Arabidopsis thaliana: one gene and its partners. The protein of the gene in region 2 interacts with the protein of the main gene of each other region in a pairwise test. Each region holds a gene or a part of one and is shown on either strand. Other genes may lie near its edges.

Region 1 (7,098 bases), on a different chromosome or scaffold from region 2:
AGTTAAATTAATTTTGTATGGGGTCAAAACCTATAAAACATTGGATTCATTATAATAATTTTAAAGAAAATATAGTTGATTTTTCAAAATTTATAAGGGTCAATTGACCCCCATAATACTATGCTACTTCCGCCCATTGCTACATTAGACTTGAACTGCCTAAGTGATTAAGCTAAAATAGACCTATACTATCTTATAACTAATTTTTCACCGTGTTAAGTATTTCAAGTTTGAATAATCAATAAAACAAATATAAGAACAAAACTACTATTTTTGAGACGAAGAGGGCACAAGCACCAAAACGGCGGCAGAAATGGGACCGCACGTGAGATGGATGGACCTAGACAATGTCATGTGAGGGACCCAGTGGGTAATGTTGTGTTCTTTTTTCTTCAATTTCGAGCTCATGACTTCTCCTTTGACTTTTTCGACATCTTCACCGAGACAGTCAAGTTTTTGCTGTCATGTTTTCCTCATTTCAGATCCCCAAATCCTTTCTTTAATTTTTTTCTAATTATCTTCCCCAAATTTCACTAATTATGTTGTCTCGTCAAATTAAACTGTAATATAAACGATCAAAAGAAGAGGATTATAGATCTAAAAGCCATCAAGATTTGGTAATATGTATGAACTTATGATAGAGATTCGATAACAATTTATATATATAGATTAATACATAAGTAAATAGATTCCAAGTAACCTGTGAGTAAAAGTAAAACATATCCCATGAAACATTGTAGATATTATAATCATTTTCTGTTTCTGTCGATTTTTAAAGATTCAATTTCTTGTTCTCAGCAGAAAGTTGTATAAACGTACGTGTGTGTGAATAAAATAGTATGTGGTTAATTTTCAAAGCAACTAACTTTAAGTACAAATGAAGGTATCTTAAACCAAATATTTAATAGATCTTCCTCTGCTATTGATTGAACTAATTAAATATGGAGGCAGTGAAGGAGGAGACCAAATTATGAAATTCATGTAGATCCGATGGACAATTAATATTTATTTATTTTCTTGCAGGAAAATTCCATTAAAGTATCGGTGAGTGAAATTTATTGGTGAATATTCTCTTACAAGAAATATGTAAAACAATAATATAAAAATAACCAACAGTTTAGGGAAGCTTTTGAAACAATAATTTAGCTAACAGTAGCTAGCACAAAAAAAAAAGTTAGCTAACAAGACAAAATAATTTCCACTTTTATCTTACAAAAAAGTTAGCTAACAAGCTACAAAAACAAATTTAATAGGAAAATTTGTTTCCATTAAAGAGAATTGAATGATATAGGCTTTTTGTTACTTAGTTCATAGTTCAACACCCAAAATGTGAAATTATATGTAAGCAATTTTTATATACTATTCGTAGAAGTGAACCATAATACACACATTTTACTCATAATAGTCTCTTCTTCAAATTTAGCTTTTGCTAGGTATTACCAAGTGATATGGCAGGTTCTTTGATTATCATATACAACTTGCAACCAAAACAAATAAATTCAAATACCAATTAGAGTACTTTTGGTAACACTTGGGAATGGTTTGTTACACACAAAAGACCAGCAAAAAAAGGATTTAAAATAGGGAAAAAAGAGAATTAAAGACAGAAATAAAATTAGGTTCAAAACAAAGGCCACTGCTTATTCCTCAATATGCTTCAAGTTCAAGCGAAGATGCTGAGCGGACCAGTCTTCGTAGAAGCGTCTATACCATTTTCACCAGTCCTGATTCCGGTTATCCACGTCCTATGCAAACCCGAAAAAAGCAAACTAAACTCGGTATTCCAATCGGTATATAATCAAACCCGAAATGTGAGCTTGAGATAGACTTACTTTCTCACGTTGTCGCCACCAATATCCATCTTGATTGTTAGCCGTTTAGTTGCTTTCATGAAATCACTGCATTTTTAAACCGGTTAATCAATCAAATGACGATAATCGCAAACAAACGGTTAATTGAAAGAATTCTTTTGAGATTTTTACCTGAAAGGTTCGTCTCCAATACGTTTGATAACACCATTTGCATCCCGGTACACAACATGAGTCAACAAATCCGACCTCTCTTCTATATGAAACATCTCAGCCAATTTCCGGTACAATTCTTGGTACGAGCCAATAACCGAGAGATCGAGTGTGCGTCCAACATCCTCAGATTCCATGAAAACTTTACAATGACCCGTCTCAAGTCCTTGCAAACTATAATTCCATGTTAACCCACGAGCCACTAAACCTTTCTCCTCCTCCGCTTCCGCCTCTTCTTCCAAAAACCGTTTTCGGTTCATAACTTGCTGTTCGGTTAAAATCGGTTGACCGAACAACACGAACTGATGAGTCTTAACCGAACCAACAGACTTCTTCTTATCCTGAACCATAGCAGGATTCCCCATAGTTAAAGAACACGAAATGTTATTACTATTCTCACTATCCCTAGCCTGATAATGATGATGCCTCGGGTTGAAACTCGATAGAAACATCGCCGGAGAATGTAACTTGTTGTTACCGGTGTAACTACTAAGATTGAGATCAGACAACAAAGACGGAGATGGTGATCCGAAGAGTTGTTGAGCTTGCCTGGCTCCCTGTATTCCTGCAGGAGCATTATTGTTGTCGTTTGACAGATAACACATGGACTCGCCACCGCCATTGTTGGCGAATCCCGGGGAGAAAATCGGGAATTTAGTACCGTGGAATGGAAACTCAAATGGCTGCGGAATCCTAATCTTCTTCCTCGGAGAGAATGGAGATAAATGTATTGTAGGCATGTTCGATACCAATTCGACTAACCACGGACTAACCCGCTTAACGTTTTGTAACAAATCCGGTTCGTCCCAAGCTACCTATAACAACCAATATAACCGTAACATTAACAAACAAACATGGATTCTGTTAAAAGGAAGAGACTTTGAGTAACTAACTAACCTGAAGGAGACGCCATGGTGAATTAGGCCAACGAATTGGATCAGCGACTTGAACGGCGGAGACAGTACCCATAAACCAACTGATTCTAGAAGAATCCTCTGTTTCAAACGCCATTTTAAAACGCATACCACTACACCATCTTATCCTCATTGCTGATCTAACATCAGCTGCTTTTACGCAAAACTCCGGTGTACTAGCGCGTGGATAATAAACAACCTCAAACGCTTGTCCACACGCTGCACGCGCCACCGCTTCCGCTACTGCTTCTACTCTAACCCTCCCTGTAGCCGCGGCGTTTCCGTCGTTGTTTCCGTTGCGTTTCATCATCATTAGCTTCGATGTTGTTGTTGTTGACTCGTCGTCACGGAGGAAACCGGAGAATCCAGGGTAAGGATTGTCGGATCCTGCGTTAGATCCGAGACCGCCGCGTTTAGCGCGGCGGATTCCGACGCAGAGGTCACCGGATTCAGAACGGAGGAAGACGATTGAGTCTCCGGCGATTAGTTTCTTCTGGTTAACGAAAGTGCTCCAACCGGTGGTTAGGAGATGACGGCGAGGTGTTCCTCTGTAAATATGCCGGAATTTCCAAGTCTCGCCGTGGATGTCTTTAGCAATCACGGTTTGAACCGGTGGCTCCGCCGAGTAATCAAGCCGCGGGAAAATCGTCTCGGCGCAATAACGTGGAACGGAGAAACCACCGCCGTTATTAGCGTCAGACTGCGTTAACGTTTTAGCGAAAGACGCCGGTTTCTCTTTACCGTTACCGTTACCGTCAGAAGAAGGAGGAGTTAGACCCAAAACGGCGTCGTTTTCTAGATCCAAGTCGTTTCCCGGAAGTGGCAAAAGCGTAATTTTAGCAAAAACTTCGTCTGTTTCAGCGTCGGCGAGGAACTTCACGGAGACGACACGACAGAGGATAAGAGGTGGAACGCGCGGCGCGTGAAAATCAGGAGGCGCGTGAGCGTGCTCTGTGTGGCCTTGAGCGAAGTAAAAAACCGTTGAATTCAGTGAAGGGATTTGAACCATTGATCCTGCACAAGCATGCCATAGTTGTGGATCCAAGCTTTTCTCTTGCTCCATCTAGACGAAGTTGTGTAACCCCCAAATTCTTTACTTAAAAGGAAAGATCAATACTTTGTTAAGTTTCAAGACATGAACATCAAGTTCTTGTCTTGAGCAGAGAAGAAGAGAGAGAGAGAGAGAGAGAGAGACAAGAACGGTTTCAGGGGAAATAGAGAAAGCGAAGTGAAAGAGATAGAGAGAGAGAGAGAGATTAGAGTTTAAATTTGCAGAGGAAACAGTAAAGTTTCGACTTTTATGATTTTGTTTCACTTCAAAAGAGGTATAATAGTGAAGGGGGAAAAAGCTTTAATGGCTGATCAGATCGTAGAAGAAGAAGAGAGAGATAGAGAGAGATGCTATAATCAGGTACGGACAAGACCATCGTAATAAATAAACATCTTGTTTTTCTCTTTAGTAATGATGTATACAGAAACAAGAACCAAACAAACCAGAGAGATTATCTCAAACACAAACTTTATAACTCTTTTTATTTTTCATTTTTTTAATATAAATAATATATAATAAATTGTTTTCAAGATAAATAAATTTTGTTTTTTTGTTTGATTAAAAAAAACTGCAACTAACTTGTTTGTTTCATTTGTTGCTTCACTAATAATAATAAAATTAGCAATTTATCGTATCACGAGCCGCGATAATTTGACATGTACCAACAAATTTTTGATTTTTTACTCGAAAAATCAGAAACCATGCTTGACCAGATACAAACCTAACCATGGTTAAATCTTTTTTATCTTTTTTTTTTTACTTTCTGCTTTTCACTTTGACTCTTTTTTTTGCCCGTTAGTGAAAGATGGGTTCCATTACACGATTGTGGTAAAACAAGAAATAGGTTAAACCCATGGTAAATTATATGATGTTGAAATTAGATGCCAAATAAACAGTCCTTTTTTGTACTACACTGGGGTAAAAACTATGATATTTTTAACCCATGCAAATGTTTCTTTTTATTTAAATGAAAAATAAATAGTTGCATATTATTCCCTCATTTCACCTCATTTCACAATAAATTTTCTTTTGATAATTTTCACACAAAAGTATAAATAAAATAAAAATATTCATTAGTTGACTATTGGTTTTCTTCTTCATAAAGTGTTCATTTAGATTTAAAGTTAAATTCTGGAGTCAAACTTTTTAAAAATAAAAATTTCTTCTAGAAAGATTTTTAATTTCAAAATCAATTAATGAAAAAAGGAAACTAAAGAAAATGGATTATGATCCACAACTTTGAAAGAATTACGGAGATGCTCGAATATGGTGGCAGATACTTTAGCAAAACAACATATTCCTTTGAACAACCTCTTTTATTTTTATGCTTTCGTTCCACATGTAATTACTGATCTTCTTCATCGTGACTATGTCACCGCTCGTCAATAACAAAGCTAATGTTTGATGAAAAAAAAAAATAGAATTACGGATAAATAATTATTTAGGAAGGAAAAAAAGAATAATTATGAGTTGTGTAAAATGACGTCATAAAAGTGGGGATAAAACGTACGTGGGAGTAGGAGAAGGGGGTTGACCCGAGAGATGAAAACGCGGCTGTTAAAAAGGGATTGTGGAGATTGGAGTGTGAGTGAGTTCGTTGAAGTTTTGTACTCGTCGATTGTTTTGTCGGATCAATATTATCCAATTATAACCTGACACGACATACCCAACTCATCCGTATATTGGTCCTTTTTTCTCTGCAACTATTTTACCATCAAATTATATTTACTCATAACAATTTTAAACGTTGATTGGTAAGTGTTTTTGTTGTATTTATCCTTCTGTATAGTTAGAAATAATTCAAAATTTGTGTCTCATCTTTAGAAATTAGTTTCATAAAATCTAGAAAATCTGTTTCTTTATATTTTGAAAACTAGATTTTCCTCGTACGTTGTCTATTTTAGTTGAATAATAAAAACAAATTTGTGTTTTTTTTGCTTCAAACAAAAGTAATATAAGGAAGTATAGCTTACTAACTTCATTAGAATATTAGAAATTAATTATATAACTCAACCAAAAACTTCTACCATCGAAGAATAATAACTCTTAAAGTCCAAATTAAAAAGATTTCCATCTAAGGCCTAAGTTTTGTTCTTAGGTGAGGCATAACGTCAATTTTTCTGCTTCCAGTTTAAAACTTTAAGTCGTTCCGAAAAAAGAACAAAAAAACTAATTTTGCATTTGTGTTTGATTGTGAAAAATATGTTTTTTTAAAAGTAGATTCGCAAAACAGATTAGTCACAAAACAGCTTTACATGGGTTTTCAGTTATGTTTTTCTATCTTAACTTCAAAAATGATAAGTTAAAAAAATACACGAATCTCTTTTTGTCTCTACAACAATTATTTTTATTTGAGAATATTAGCTACAATATTAATAAATTGGAACTATTATTATCTTCTATAATTAAGTCACATTCAACGATAAAGGATTCATACGAACTATATTAATATTCGTCCCTTGTTTTGATATTAAAAAGTTTGAAAAAAAATAGTCGTATGTAGGTAATAAATTTACTCCTTTTTAACTATACAAACACTAAACAGACAACTTAAGTATGTATTACTTCTATTGACCTTACTTCTATTGACCTTATATGAAACGAAGTAACTAATTTTTTTTGTCTACTTGTGAATTTTAAGAGATAAATCACATGACTATTCTAACGTAAAATGTAAATAAAATATTGTTTAAGTTCGTTTTCAAAGAATGAGCAAACAAAAAATAGTTAATAGAGAATAAATGGACCAGGAGGGAAGAAGAAAACAAAAGGATCAATTAATGCATGACTTCTGAAAAAAACATAAAATCATCGACAAGACACACAGTTTCTTTGTCTTTCAAGTGTATTTCAGCCATATACTTTTTCATCTTATCTCGAATACACACACTGGTATACATGTAAATGTGTATATAAAATGCATATATAATTAATATGTGGACTTGACATGGCTAGAAAGAAGCAACACAAAATTAGAATGGTGAATAATGTGTTGGTGGGTTGTCTTGCATTATGATCTATGAATGGTCCATTGGTCCTATGACTCCTCCCTATCCTATCTTCAACTTGTTTTTTTTCTTTTCTTATTTGTTTGTTAAAAAAATATTAAACT
Region 2 (5,149 bases):
GAGATTATACTTGCTAGGTTCAATAAAAAGTTTGATTGGTCTCTCAAGGCTAAAATGATGGGTAGAAAAGCAATAGAAGCTGCCAGGATCTTTGTTGAAGAAAGCGGGATTAGCGACTCTCTTTCAGCTGAGGACTTTCTTGTCGAGAGAGAGTCAATGTTGCAAGACCTTTTCCCTACTAGTGAGCTCATGCCAGGTAGATTCTGCTTTTTGTAACACATGACATTTGGTTCACAGGAAGATTACATGTACGGATATTTATGTTTTTGATGTGGTCATGAACCAATTCTCTTCCACATTTTCAGGGGCTAGTAGACTCATTAAGCATCTCCATGTAAAGAATATTCCAATATGTATTGCTACCGGGTAATCTCTTCACCTCATCTCATAATATACCATTTAGTTTGCATTCTCATTGTCCTTTACAATCCAGAAACTGACTTGTTATGTTTGATTGTACGCTTGCAGTACTCACACACGGCATTATGATCTGAAAACCCAAAGACACAGAGAGCTTTTCTCATTGATGCATCACGTAGTTCGTGGTGATGATCCAGAGGTGAAGCAAGGAAAGCCTGCTCCTGACGGGTTTCTCGCTGCTGCTAGGAGATTTAAGGTAACTAACAGGCAACAGTCTCCAAGATTCTCCATTACTAACTAGTTCATATTTAAAATGAGTTGTAGACTAATGTTTCCTCTTCGTCTGGATTCCTTAGGACGGTCCTGTGGATTCACAAAAGGTTCTGGTGTTTGAAGATGCTCCATCTGGAGTTCTTGCTGCTAAAAACGCCGGAATGTAAGTGGGTTTCTCTTCATGTAAAAGCCAATAAAAACCGAGAAACAAGTTTATACATCTTGATGTCTATCTACAGGAACGTGGTTATGGTACCGGATCCTAGACTAGATATCTCTCACCAAGATGTTGCAGATCAAATCATAACCTCTCTAGTCGATTTTAAACCGGAAGAGTGGGGCTTGCCTCCATTCGAAGATTCGAACTAAACGATACAAACGTCTTCAAGGTAATGATAAAAACTCAAATCATGAAGCTTATTCTTTGTCTTGTTATATTGTTTTGGCATGTACATGACAAAGGCCATGAGGCTTTATGTCGTCAAGGGTTCTATGATTTTCTGGCTATTGAAGACATAAAAAGAAACTAAGTGGTGACATGACGAGAGACCAAACAAAAAAATTTGCCTCAACGTTTAAACAAATTATTTTTGTACAACTACTCTTACCCACAAGTTTCAACATTGGCTTATCTTATTTTGTTCTTGTCGGTATAGCTGAATTGATTCCTTCTTTATGGTTTGGAATCTCTCTTCTTTACGCATCACTAACATGTGTTGTTACTGCAACGTTTCATGTTTTACACTATAATTAAGAAAAATAGGTTATATTTAGTATTACAACTTTTTTTTTATTTTTCATTTCGTACGTGAACAAAGAAGCAAACACATCCAATGATGATTTTACAGTAATGCCATTAGGATTCAACCGACATCGGCTGTTACAAAACATCGTATGACATCGTTGCAAAAACGGTCTTTCTCCTCCTCACTCGTTTCTTTTAACTTGTCTTGTGTTTCCCTTGACCGGCAAGATTCGAATTCTCTTCGCTACACGAACAAAGTCCCTGTGTCAACAAGCAAATTTTCTCGTTAACGTCCAAGTATTAAAATATTGCCAGTTAAAGATCACGAAACCTTCAAAATCTAATTATACTAAACATTGAACGAAAACCGTAATTTTTAAGAAAGATATATAACGGTATCAAACAAAATAACTATAGCCAGCAAAATTGAGTATACAGAATAAGGATAGCAACAAAATATCATTTCACTAAATTATTGATATTTGTCTTTTTAGAAAAGCAGAGAACATGTGTTTTCTTGGCAGCTTGAAAAACTTGTGTTTGTAGTATTTTACCGTTAGGGGAAAAAAAATTAATATAGTTTTCCTATGTTTAAAATAAGGCTCGTTTTATATATAGTTTGTATATATATGGCCATCCTGACAATAATAAAGAAAATTAATGTTAGGGGAGGAAAATTACTTCCAAGTAAGATCTCCGGCAAGAAGGAGATCGTTCTCCATGTCTTCATAAGCAATAAGATGGCCAGGAATGGCGTTTGACAGATCAAGATCGTCCGTTGAATCAGCTCCATCGACAAACATTTGCCTTAGAGCCGAAGCCAAGCTCTGATAACTCCCATGCTTGTCTAGGCTTATGCGTTGACATATAGAACGTCCCTCTAGCACAACCGTAACCGGAGGAACCACCGATGAAACAAGATCGTCCTCTACGTTAAGCCCAAAGCCTTGGAATGATCTCCCGGCCGCTCCAGAGCTGGAGTTGCTATTATTATGGTTTTTGGAAGCCGGTTTGGGTATGAAAGGTGTCGTGGTGTCACGAGGTTGTTGTGTGGTGCTGTTGTCTTGATGAAACCTTCTTTGCAAAGAGTCTTGGCTTTGTGGCTCGAAACTATTCATATTGAGAGTAGGGTTTTAGGGCTTTTGTAACTTAGAGAAGACAACGGACGCTTACATGGAACTCAAAGTGTTTCGTGTTTTTTTGTTAAGCTAGAGAGAGACTGTGTGTTTGATGAGATTCTGGTGAAAGTGAATGTATGTACATATAAATAGATAGAGAAAGCGTAAATTGTGTGGCAAACAAAAAGGTGTCTTTTATTTTTCATTTTTCAATTTTCGTTTGGTTTAATGTTGTCTTAAATGTTTCATTTAATTTGAAAGTACATCTGCTCTTTGGATTTCTCGTTAGACAATGAATCCTCAATTAACAATCAATTTAATATTTAATTATTCAATGAACAATTGGATTCACGTAAAAATGTTCTCACATGCTTATGTATTAAATGTGTTTTTACAATTATTGTATTTTGCTAACTTATTCTACTATATATCTATCACTGCGACTGTGAGAGTAATAAGAGCTGTTACAGGAAATGTTCCAAGGTTTCACTAATTTTGACCATATATTACCAGCAAGGTATTAGGTATTTATGTATACAAGTATAAAGAAATTTTAAAATAAAAATGTTTGGAAATGTTTACGTGGACAAAAAGAAAGCTGATGGGAAAACATAAAAACAGTGAAAAAGAGTCAATATAATAAGAAATGTGAATTAGCTAGAAAACTCCAAATTAATTAAAGACATTATAAATTGGTGATTAATTAAATAATGAAAGAAGGTATCATAGAAAAAGAGATCTTGTAAATTGTAACGCATGGGCTGCGGAGACGACCGCGCTGCCGTCGCCGAACGCCTCGCTTCCTTGACTCGCGCCTGGTCGGGAGTTCCACGTCATTTTCTTTTCATACACTAATACACACATCAAGCATACATACGAAGAATATAAAAATTGTATTAACCGGTAAACACACGCATATATCCACACGACCACACATCAACGTCATATAGAATATACATGCATAGCCATTTATCCATGTAACATCACATACACACACATGAATACGTTTAACGTTTGATCTCATACTTCTCGGATTTAACTCGGTTTGACGAAAGTAAAACAAAGTATTAGACCTTGGTCCAAAATGTAGACATCACCCCTCTAATAATAATGAAAACTCATGTTATTTGGGAGGAGTTGTTTAGAGTGATTAGATCCAAGAAAATATGTGAACTTAATTAGAAATTTCTTAGATCAAAAAAGAGGGAAAAAAAGAAGAATTGCACTCTAAACTCATACAATATAATCCAAAGTCTTTTCGGTTATAGATTTTGGTGTACGGAACTTATCTGAAAATAAATAAATAACAAGTTTGTTCGAGCTACCTAAAATTAGTTGATTCCAATTCAAGTCATTTTAAAACATTATACACGATTTTAAAATCGCAAATAATTAAGTTGAGTGACCAAATGTATAGGTAAATCATGTATGAGTCAAATAACTGTGCCTAAAATTGTAATTTTATGCTAAAATGTTGATTTTCATATGGACTATTAAATGAAAAATTAACGGTGGATCCAACAAGCAATAGGTGAATAAGCTAAAGCAAACCCAAGAAGACATAAAACGAAGCACAAGAAGCATATTTTCTTAAGTTTGAAGCAAACAATAATTTACTCTATACATTTAAATTTCAACTCGGGATTCGAATTAGAAGACTCGAAGATCCGACATGGAGGCATGGAAATATTTAAAACTTACCTCGGTTTCATAGATCTCAATTTAGGACTATAGTTTAACACATTACTACGTCTACATGTTATATTTAATCATCTAATTAATTTGTCTCGATTTTTGTTTTTTTTCGATTCTACAGACATACGTTAATGTTTGCTTATTCCACTCCCCGATAATAATCAAAATTTAAATAACAATCAAACACTTACCCGCTGTTTTGGTCTGTTTCTAACCAAACAATGATAATCATTTTGTCATGCTCATCCAACATTAGCACAAGTCTAAACAGGCCTTACACATCAGCTCAATAAAGCCTTAATAGGCCCAATTAAAACAGTATGGGCCCACATTCTTCCTTCTCTTAAAGCCTAAACAGTTGGCGCGTCAAAATCACGTGGAGGAGCACTGAAGCCAGTAGGTGTCTCTTCACAGGATCATTTCCTTAAAGCTCATTATCACAAAAACAAATCCTTTTGATTATTATTACTGAAATAAAAAGCAAAGTGAAAAAGGTTTTAAAAACTTTTATTTTCGCTCTTCTCCAGAAACATTCCGTTTCAGATATTTTTGATTTTTGAATTTGTTTTCGCTCTCTCTCTCTCTCTGCTTAGATTAGATCTGTTCCTGTGAATTGATTCTCTGTTTCATCGTTTGCTCACGCCGCCGTTTTCGCCGGAGGTGGAAGCTCTCATCGCCGTTTCGAAAATGCCGGCGAATGATGCTGAATACGATCTCAAAGTAAGATTACTGTTTTCCGATTTGTTTTCCTCATCGAATTTCAATTTCAAGCTCCATTGACTGATTCTATGGTTTCTTCTTCACAGGTTTTATCTCAATCTGCGTCAGCAGGGTTAGTTTTCTTCTTAATCCCCCTAGGGTTTACTTTAAAATCTCCAATGAGTACTGATTGGAATTTTTGTTTTTTTGATTGAGAAGGGATTACACATTTGCGAATGAGGATAACTTGGAGCATTGT
Region 3 (6,963 bases), on a different chromosome or scaffold from region 2:
ATTTTACATAAAAAATAGTATTCAAAGTGCCACAACGTTCGCTACTCTGTCGCTTCTCCTCTTTGACTTTTGTCACACTTGTTTCTGTCGATATCGTCTTAACTCAAGTACTCAACCATGGTTAACAATAGTTTTGTTGCAAAACCCTAAGTATTTTGTCCTAATAATTAACATATATATTATGATCGCCAGTTGATTAACTTGACTACTTTGATTAATTAAATGATTAATCCAAATCAAGACTACCCCATGTATCTCTCATTTTGCTGTTTGTTTTCTCTTATGATCTTGTTGGGATTGTGAATTCTGAACATGTGTGGTTCAAGAGTCAACTTCATACGTAGAGTTGTCACAATCACTTTTGATTAATGTAAACTCCTAAACTTTTGATTTATTCAGATATGCAATTAATTTATGTGTGTATCTATTTTTGTATACAATGTTCATACTCTCTCTTAAGCTACAATAATTGAGTTTTGGTTCAATTTATATTAACTCTAATCATGACATGTAACTGGATTTAAAATATCTCCCTTTCGTCTATTTACACATTTCATGATGTCCATCACTCTCAAGTCATATTCATTTTTGTATTGATGTCTAGAAGCGTCGTCAGATTAGGTCTGAGAGTGGACAAGTCATTTTACAAAAACATTTTTACAAATCTATCATGATTAAGACTTGAGATTGGAACATTATAGGACATTAGGTTGGAACAGAAAAAGTGAGTATGGTTTTATATAAGATTAAAGACTAGAAAGTAAAAAGGGCTAGAACTTTTGGTCTTTTTACATTAAATAAGCAGAGAAAAAGTGAGTTTAGAACTTCATTGACTTTGAGAACCGAGAAGCGAATATAGAGTACTTTCGTTGTACATTTATAATTAGTAGGTTGAAGATGATATGGAATTTTCGTTGTGTATACATTGGAATCTGAAAATCTTTTAAATATATATATAGTTTTGAGTTATAAATGAAAAGTGGGAGATCCAACTTAACTTAGGTGTTGAGGACTTTGTGTTTTGTCAAACATAGGATCCGACCGTTGTTTGTTGTGCATGTGCCTAGAGACATGACCCTCGCATCACCCTAACTAATTGTCTTCCAGATTTTTATTACTTTTCATACCTCTCAACAACTTATTGATCCCAAGAAACAAATAATGAAATATTTAAAGAAAAATCACTTTATATATTACATAATGAATCAAAGTAAGCAATGCAACCATGTTTGAGGCCTATTGGTTTATGCGTGTCATCACTAATTTGTAGACAAATTGAAGTGACTTTGACAAACATATCATAATTTGCCGTCTAGACTTTGGTTCTTATACCCTATTTGATCAATGAAGCTTTTCAAGGGAAGAAGAACCTATTTTATTTGCAAATAGATTGTGAATTGCATTTTGAAACTTACATAATCCAAAAAAGTGGAACTAAAATAAACAAATAAAAGAAAAAAAAAACTTAAAAGATTCAATCGTTGAGTTTTGACTTCCAAGCTCCAACAAAACACTCTGCCAAGTTATACTACAACGCTCTCACTTCCTTGTTCCGTCAGAATTGTCAATCTTCGAGCTGTCTTCAAGAACTCACTGCCAAAGATGAGTCAAAACACCAACAACTATTAGATGTTTTCTTTTACTTCATCATCAAAATAGTACGAAAAATATGACAATCTTGTCTATAATAAAAAAATGTACCTGAAAGGTTCGTTTCCTGCGTATTTGATGGCTCCTGATGCATCCCTATAGAGAACAGAGCTTAACATCTCAGACTTTTTGATTCCAAACATGTCAGAGAGTTTCCGACTCAATTCTTCGTATGAACCAAGAACCGATAGGTCTAAGGTTCGACCTACATCGTCTGACTCCATAAACACTTTACAATGCCCTGTTTCCAAACCTGATGCATCATGAACTTTCTTAGAGCAAGGTGATCCTTCATCTGACGAAGAAAACTCCCTTCCCGCAACGCCGTTTTGGTTCGACCCGCCTGATGAAATCTGCGTTTTCTCTATGTTTGCGGTATCCGTTGAGCCTTTTTCTGATAGCTGTTCCTCGGGTAGTATAAGCTTGCCGAACAATACAATATGGGACTTTTTAGATTTGGTATCATTGCATGGTGTTGTTCCCATTGTCAAAAAGCAAAATCCTTTTTCGTTTTTGGTATCGATGTTTCGGAGACCGAGAGAAGGAGAAAGTTGGAGAGAGGATGGAGGAGGAGGAGGAGGTGGTCTATTCAAGTAGTAATGGTGAAGATCCGAAGATGATAACCCGTAGTACTGATGAGCATTATGCCTGGCTCCCTGTAAACCCACGGGAACATTGTCCAGAACAGAGCTTAACGGGCTTGATCTAATAAGGGGATTGCTTGGGAATGAAGGTACTGGAATCGAATTGATCAGATTGTTGTAATCTGGATGCTGAGGTAGCCGCATCTTTTTCCTCGGTGGCGAAAACGAAGTAAGCGGGATCGGATGTACGTTTGATACCAATTCCACCAACCACGGGTTAACTCGCTTCACGTTTTGGAGTAAATCTGGCTCATCCCACGCCACCTGAAAACACAAAAATGCAACCTATGAGTCTATATTCTAACTTGAGCTAGAAGAAAATTTTGAGTGTTTGTTTACCTGTAGAAGCCGCCAAGGAGAGTTAGGCCAACGGATAGGATCAGAGACATTAACAGCTGAAACAGTCCCCATAAACCAACTTATCCGAGACGAATCCTCTGTCTCAAAAGCCATCTTAAACCTCATACCTGAGCACCACGGAATCCGCATGGCAGCTCGAGCATCTAATGCCTTGACACAAAACTCTGAAGTGCTAGCTCTCGGATAGTACACAACCTCAAACGGTCTTCCGCTAATAGCAAGAGTGGCTGCTTCTATAACAGATTCAGCCGTCACTTTCCCCTTCCTATCCGCAAGGGAACAATTACTTCTCCTCAAACTATTGCTTTCATCTTCCCTTAACAGAGAAGAGTAGCCGCAACTTCCACCGATCGGATTCCAACCCGCTGAATATTCGGGTCCATTACCTATCCCTCCTCTCTTAGCCCTCCTAATACCTACACAAAGATCTCCATTCTCCGCTCTCATGAAGACAATCGAATCTCCCGCCACAAGCTTCTTCTGGTTTACAAAATTACTCCATCCGGTTGTAAGAAGGTGACGCCGAGGCGTCCCTCTATAAATATGTCTGAACTTCCAAACATCACCATGAACATCCTTAGCAAGAATGGTCTGAACCGGCGGCTCGGCGTTATAATCCAACCTCGGGAAAATCGTCTCAGCGCAATAACGAGGAACAGAGAAACCCCCACCGTTATTAGCATCAGACTGAGTCAAAGTCTTAGCAAACGAAGGCGTTTTCTCACTATTACTCTCGAAACCGTTACTATCTTCACCATCACCATACTCGTGATCAACATACTCATCATCTTTCAAAGGAATCAATCTCAGTTTAGCGAAAACCTCGTCAGATTCAGCATCAGCCATATACTTAATGGCTAAAACACGACACAAAACCATGGGAGGAATAGGGAGATTACCGAAATCGACACAATCGTAAGCGTTTTCGGCGTGACCTTGAGGAAAGTAAAAGACTTTAGAGTTCATAGGAGGCATACGAACCATACCACCAGCACATGCATGCCATAGCTGAGGATCTAAACCTTTCTCTGTTCCACCTTTCATTGGATTCATCACATTTATCATATTTTTTGTGACCGTTTTTGCTGCAACAACAAATACAAATGTATCAGCTTTTGTTTGAGAACAGAGTAACCAAACAAAAGCACAATACAAATGCTTTTTATTTAGCAACTCAAGTCCTTTGTATCAGTCAACTTTACCTAACAAACGAAATTTTCCCGGAAAATAAAAATAAATAAAAAGATTCAAGAAAAACCGACAAAAAGGGTCATTTCAGATAGTAAGAAGATTTCAAATACCAAATCTCCGGAGAAAACAAAAAATACAAATTATAAAACTTCAAGAACGTTTTGAGGATATTTAGTTTATTAATCCATTATGAAATTAAAAAGACCACAAATTAAGAAAATTTAGTTAGATTAGATTTTCATAAGAGCAAGCTCACGATTGTGTTGTGTGAAGCAGACAAAGCAAAAAAAACATAGATCGGTCTGAAGTAAGAACAAGAACCACACAAAAGAACAGTAAACTAACAAAGTTAGATAGAACTAGTTAGACATGATGATCAAATCGAATCAAGCTAAACCAAATCAAATTCATATCGAATCGATTGAGAAAACCAAAGATGAAACAGAGAAAGATTAGGAGAGAAAATTTATGTAAAATTAGTTCAAACCTGAAACAGTGGCAGATCTGAACAAAATAGCGAAGATTCTGTGAAAAACCAATCTAGGTATAGAGAGAATCTGAAGATTCTGCAGCTAATTTCTGCTTCAGAATCGGATAAGGAAGGTTACACTTTTTGCACAAAGAAAATGGAAAAAGGGGTTCGTATATATGAAGGAAAGAGCTTTGGCTCTTCTGCAGAAAAACAAAACTAAAAATAAAATAAAAATAATATTATCTCTTTTTTCTCAACTTTCATTAACTCTTTCACATGTCTTTTTTATTATTATTTCTTCTCTAGTTAGTGAATTTTTTAGAAAATATTAATCCGGATTATTTTAAGTGTAATAAATTTTAAGCCTAAAAGAAGGTAACAATTTGGTAAGTCAAACCCTTGATTCCGGGCATAAAAATCGACAATATGGAGTGTGAAAAAAGAAGAGAATTAAAAAAAGAAATATCGACATACGAGTTAAAGAGTTGAATCGCGCACGTGACGGATCCGCACGTGTCGTCGGTGCTTCCGACATATCTCCTTGAAATCTGATTAGAAGCATCTAATTATTTAACAATTCAAGGCAAGCTAATTAACTCAGCCATTAATTGTTCTTTGAATAAACTAATTTTTACAGTTTGATTTGATAATCCCAATAGTTCATTGAATTATTTTTAACTTATTGTTTACGAAACACGATATTTTGTTGATAACCATGTAAGCAATTTGCTGTTGCTAACCATCTTTCTTTGTGTTTAAACGATGTAAAAATAAAATTCTACCTCGGGTTTTTATATTCCCGTTTGATTGGCCCAGACTAGTATTCTAAAATACATTATACAGCTGTATATATATATATATATTGTGTTGTAAATAACTATAGTTCTATTTTATGTTCTATTTGTATAGTATAATTATATGAAATACACAACTGCATATAGACGTATAAAGGCTGTACATGCAGCATATATATGAGGTACACATATTTTTAAAAACAAAAAACATAGTTTCGTGTGTTTTTCTAAATGGTAAGTGAAAGGAAGATTAAAATTATTGGTTTCAAAAAGGAATGAAGGGAGATAAACATCTAACTATTTATGTTAAAATTTACCAAAGTTGAAAAAAAAACTTAGAATTTTTTGCTTTTGATCCCATAGTTTTTTCGTAGGTTGCGAACCAATTCATAGGAAATCAGGAGACTTAGATAATCCTTTTAAAATATAATTTAAGGATCCTAAGAAAACATTTTAGAAAATTTCTCTGATATGACTATACCCTATATATCCAAATAAGATAGAGATACGACATACATATGTCAATCCTACATGATCGTAGCAAGGCTCAATAAATTTCCGCATGTGTCATTGTATTTTTTTGTCGTAAGAGTTAGCTTTCCAATTAATAATACCAAGAGTTTGATCTAGGCCATACGTAAACAAAAATCCAATATCCAATTATATACACAAGTATAAGAACCAAAATTTTCAAGATTGGAATTATGAAACTGAAATTATAATCTGAAATTATTTTAGATAACACTAAAATCTTTTAATATATGGGAATGTGATAATAAGAAAATAATAATTAACAATGATAATGAAAACATATTTAACCGGAGGACATATCACGTGTGAGTAACCATGGTTAAGTTTGAAGTGTGTCTGTGTATGTGTGTTGTTTGGTCAATACCACATACTTTCCTTGTCAATAGTTATTACGTGTGTCTCCATTTATGTTAATCCAGTAATAATTTACATGTCACAAGGGCAAATTCGGTATTTGAATCTTAAACCACCGGATCTGATCTAATTGTCCTCTTATTATTCCTTCAGATTTTGGTTACCACATTTGCATGTAATACTCCTTAGTGGTTACACCTTCTATGTTTATCGATGTTCCTCATGACCACAAGTGTCGTTAATAATGTAATTTAGATTTGGGCTAACTTTTGGAAAAACTTGGGCATGTGAACTCAATCTACTAATAATCATGTTATATTTTTAGGGGTTGGCAAACCACAATTTGGGATTTTGCGAGAACTGGACGAAACAAATTTCTTAAAAAGAAAAAATTATTTATAGACAGCAACGAGACATGACGGAAATGGAAATGCTCGCCAATATTTCTTGCTTGTTTTATTTTTCAATTTATACATTTTAGTTTGTTTGTTCCATTCAATTATTTGGGTTTATGGTTTTTATTTTATTCACATATAATGGATTTGATAAAAAATTTGAAAAATAGTTTGGACAAAAGAAAAAAAACAGAATGATAAAATAAAAGCTAAAAAGAGAAATGAAAGCTAAAAACAAGAAAGAGCGTAAATGAAAAGCGACCTATAAAGGAGAAGACATATAAAGACATGAAATTGGGATCAGACACAAACAGTCGTTATAGACATTGACTCTCTCTTGTCCTTTTCTTTCTCCCATTTTGTCTTCACAAAATAGTTTTTTTTTCCTCTTTTAAAATATAGATAAAGATATTTTAATCTGAAGTTGTATGTTTGTCCGAAAAAAAAAATCTGAAATATTAAGGCTTTTTAGTTTCAACTTGTACCCAACACAATTGGGCTGGGCCTGGTTACATTAACATGGCAAACTAAAATTTCCCAATCACATCTGTATCAATGTGAGAAGATTTACA

What was found.
Region 1: the proteins of IAA33 (region 2) and ARF10 interact in a two-hybrid assay, tested with the Arabidopsis thaliana proteins (2 studies listed by BioGRID).
Region 3: the proteins of IAA33 (region 2) and ARF16 interact in binary tests that used the Arabidopsis thaliana proteins (3 or more experiments, as listed by UniProt).

Annotation. Positions count from the first base shown.
Region 1 is NC_003071.7:12,111,231-12,118,328, reverse strand, and holds ARF10 (auxin response factor 10), read right to left. Parts: upstream 4,441-7,098; 5' UTR 3,999-4,440; coding exon 2,919-3,998; intron 2,837-2,918; coding exon 1,983-2,836; intron 1,899-1,982; coding exon 1,833-1,898; coding exon of another isoform or gene 1,829-1,832; exon of another isoform or gene 1,746-1,828; coding exon 1,664-1,745; 3' UTR 1,387-1,663; downstream 1-1,386. UniProt on the Arabidopsis thaliana protein: Auxin response factors (ARFs) are transcriptional factors that bind specifically to the DNA sequence 5'-TGTCTC-3' found in the auxin-responsive promoter elements (AuxREs). Could act as transcriptional activator or repressor.
Region 2 is NC_003076.8:23,267,371-23,272,519, reverse strand, and holds IAA33 (indole-3-acetic acid inducible 33), read right to left. Parts: upstream 2,607-5,149; 5' UTR 2,497-2,606; coding exon 2,060-2,496; intron 1,640-2,059; coding exon 1,561-1,639; 3' UTR 1,428-1,560; downstream 1-1,427. Other genes in the region: GS1 (Haloacid dehalogenase-like hydrolase (HAD) superfamily protein), read left to right, coding at 1-196, 306-366, 469-616, 717-796, 873-1,002; AT5G57410 (Afadin/alpha-actinin-binding protein), read left to right, coding at 4,879-4,911, 4,998-5,023, 5,110-5,149. UniProt on the Arabidopsis thaliana protein: Aux/IAA proteins are short-lived transcriptional factors that function as repressors of early auxin response genes at low auxin concentrations.
Region 3 is NC_003075.7:14,701,846-14,708,808, forward strand, and holds ARF16 (auxin response factor 16), read right to left. Parts: upstream 4,510-6,963; 5' UTR 4,333-4,509; intron 3,740-4,332; 5' UTR 3,720-3,739; coding exon 2,634-3,719; intron 2,559-2,633; coding exon 1,702-2,558; intron 1,594-1,701; coding exon 1,524-1,593; 3' UTR 1,220-1,523; downstream 1-1,219. UniProt on the Arabidopsis thaliana protein: Auxin response factors (ARFs) are transcriptional factors that bind specifically to the DNA sequence 5'-TGTCTC-3' found in the auxin-responsive promoter elements (AuxREs). Could act as transcriptional activator or repressor.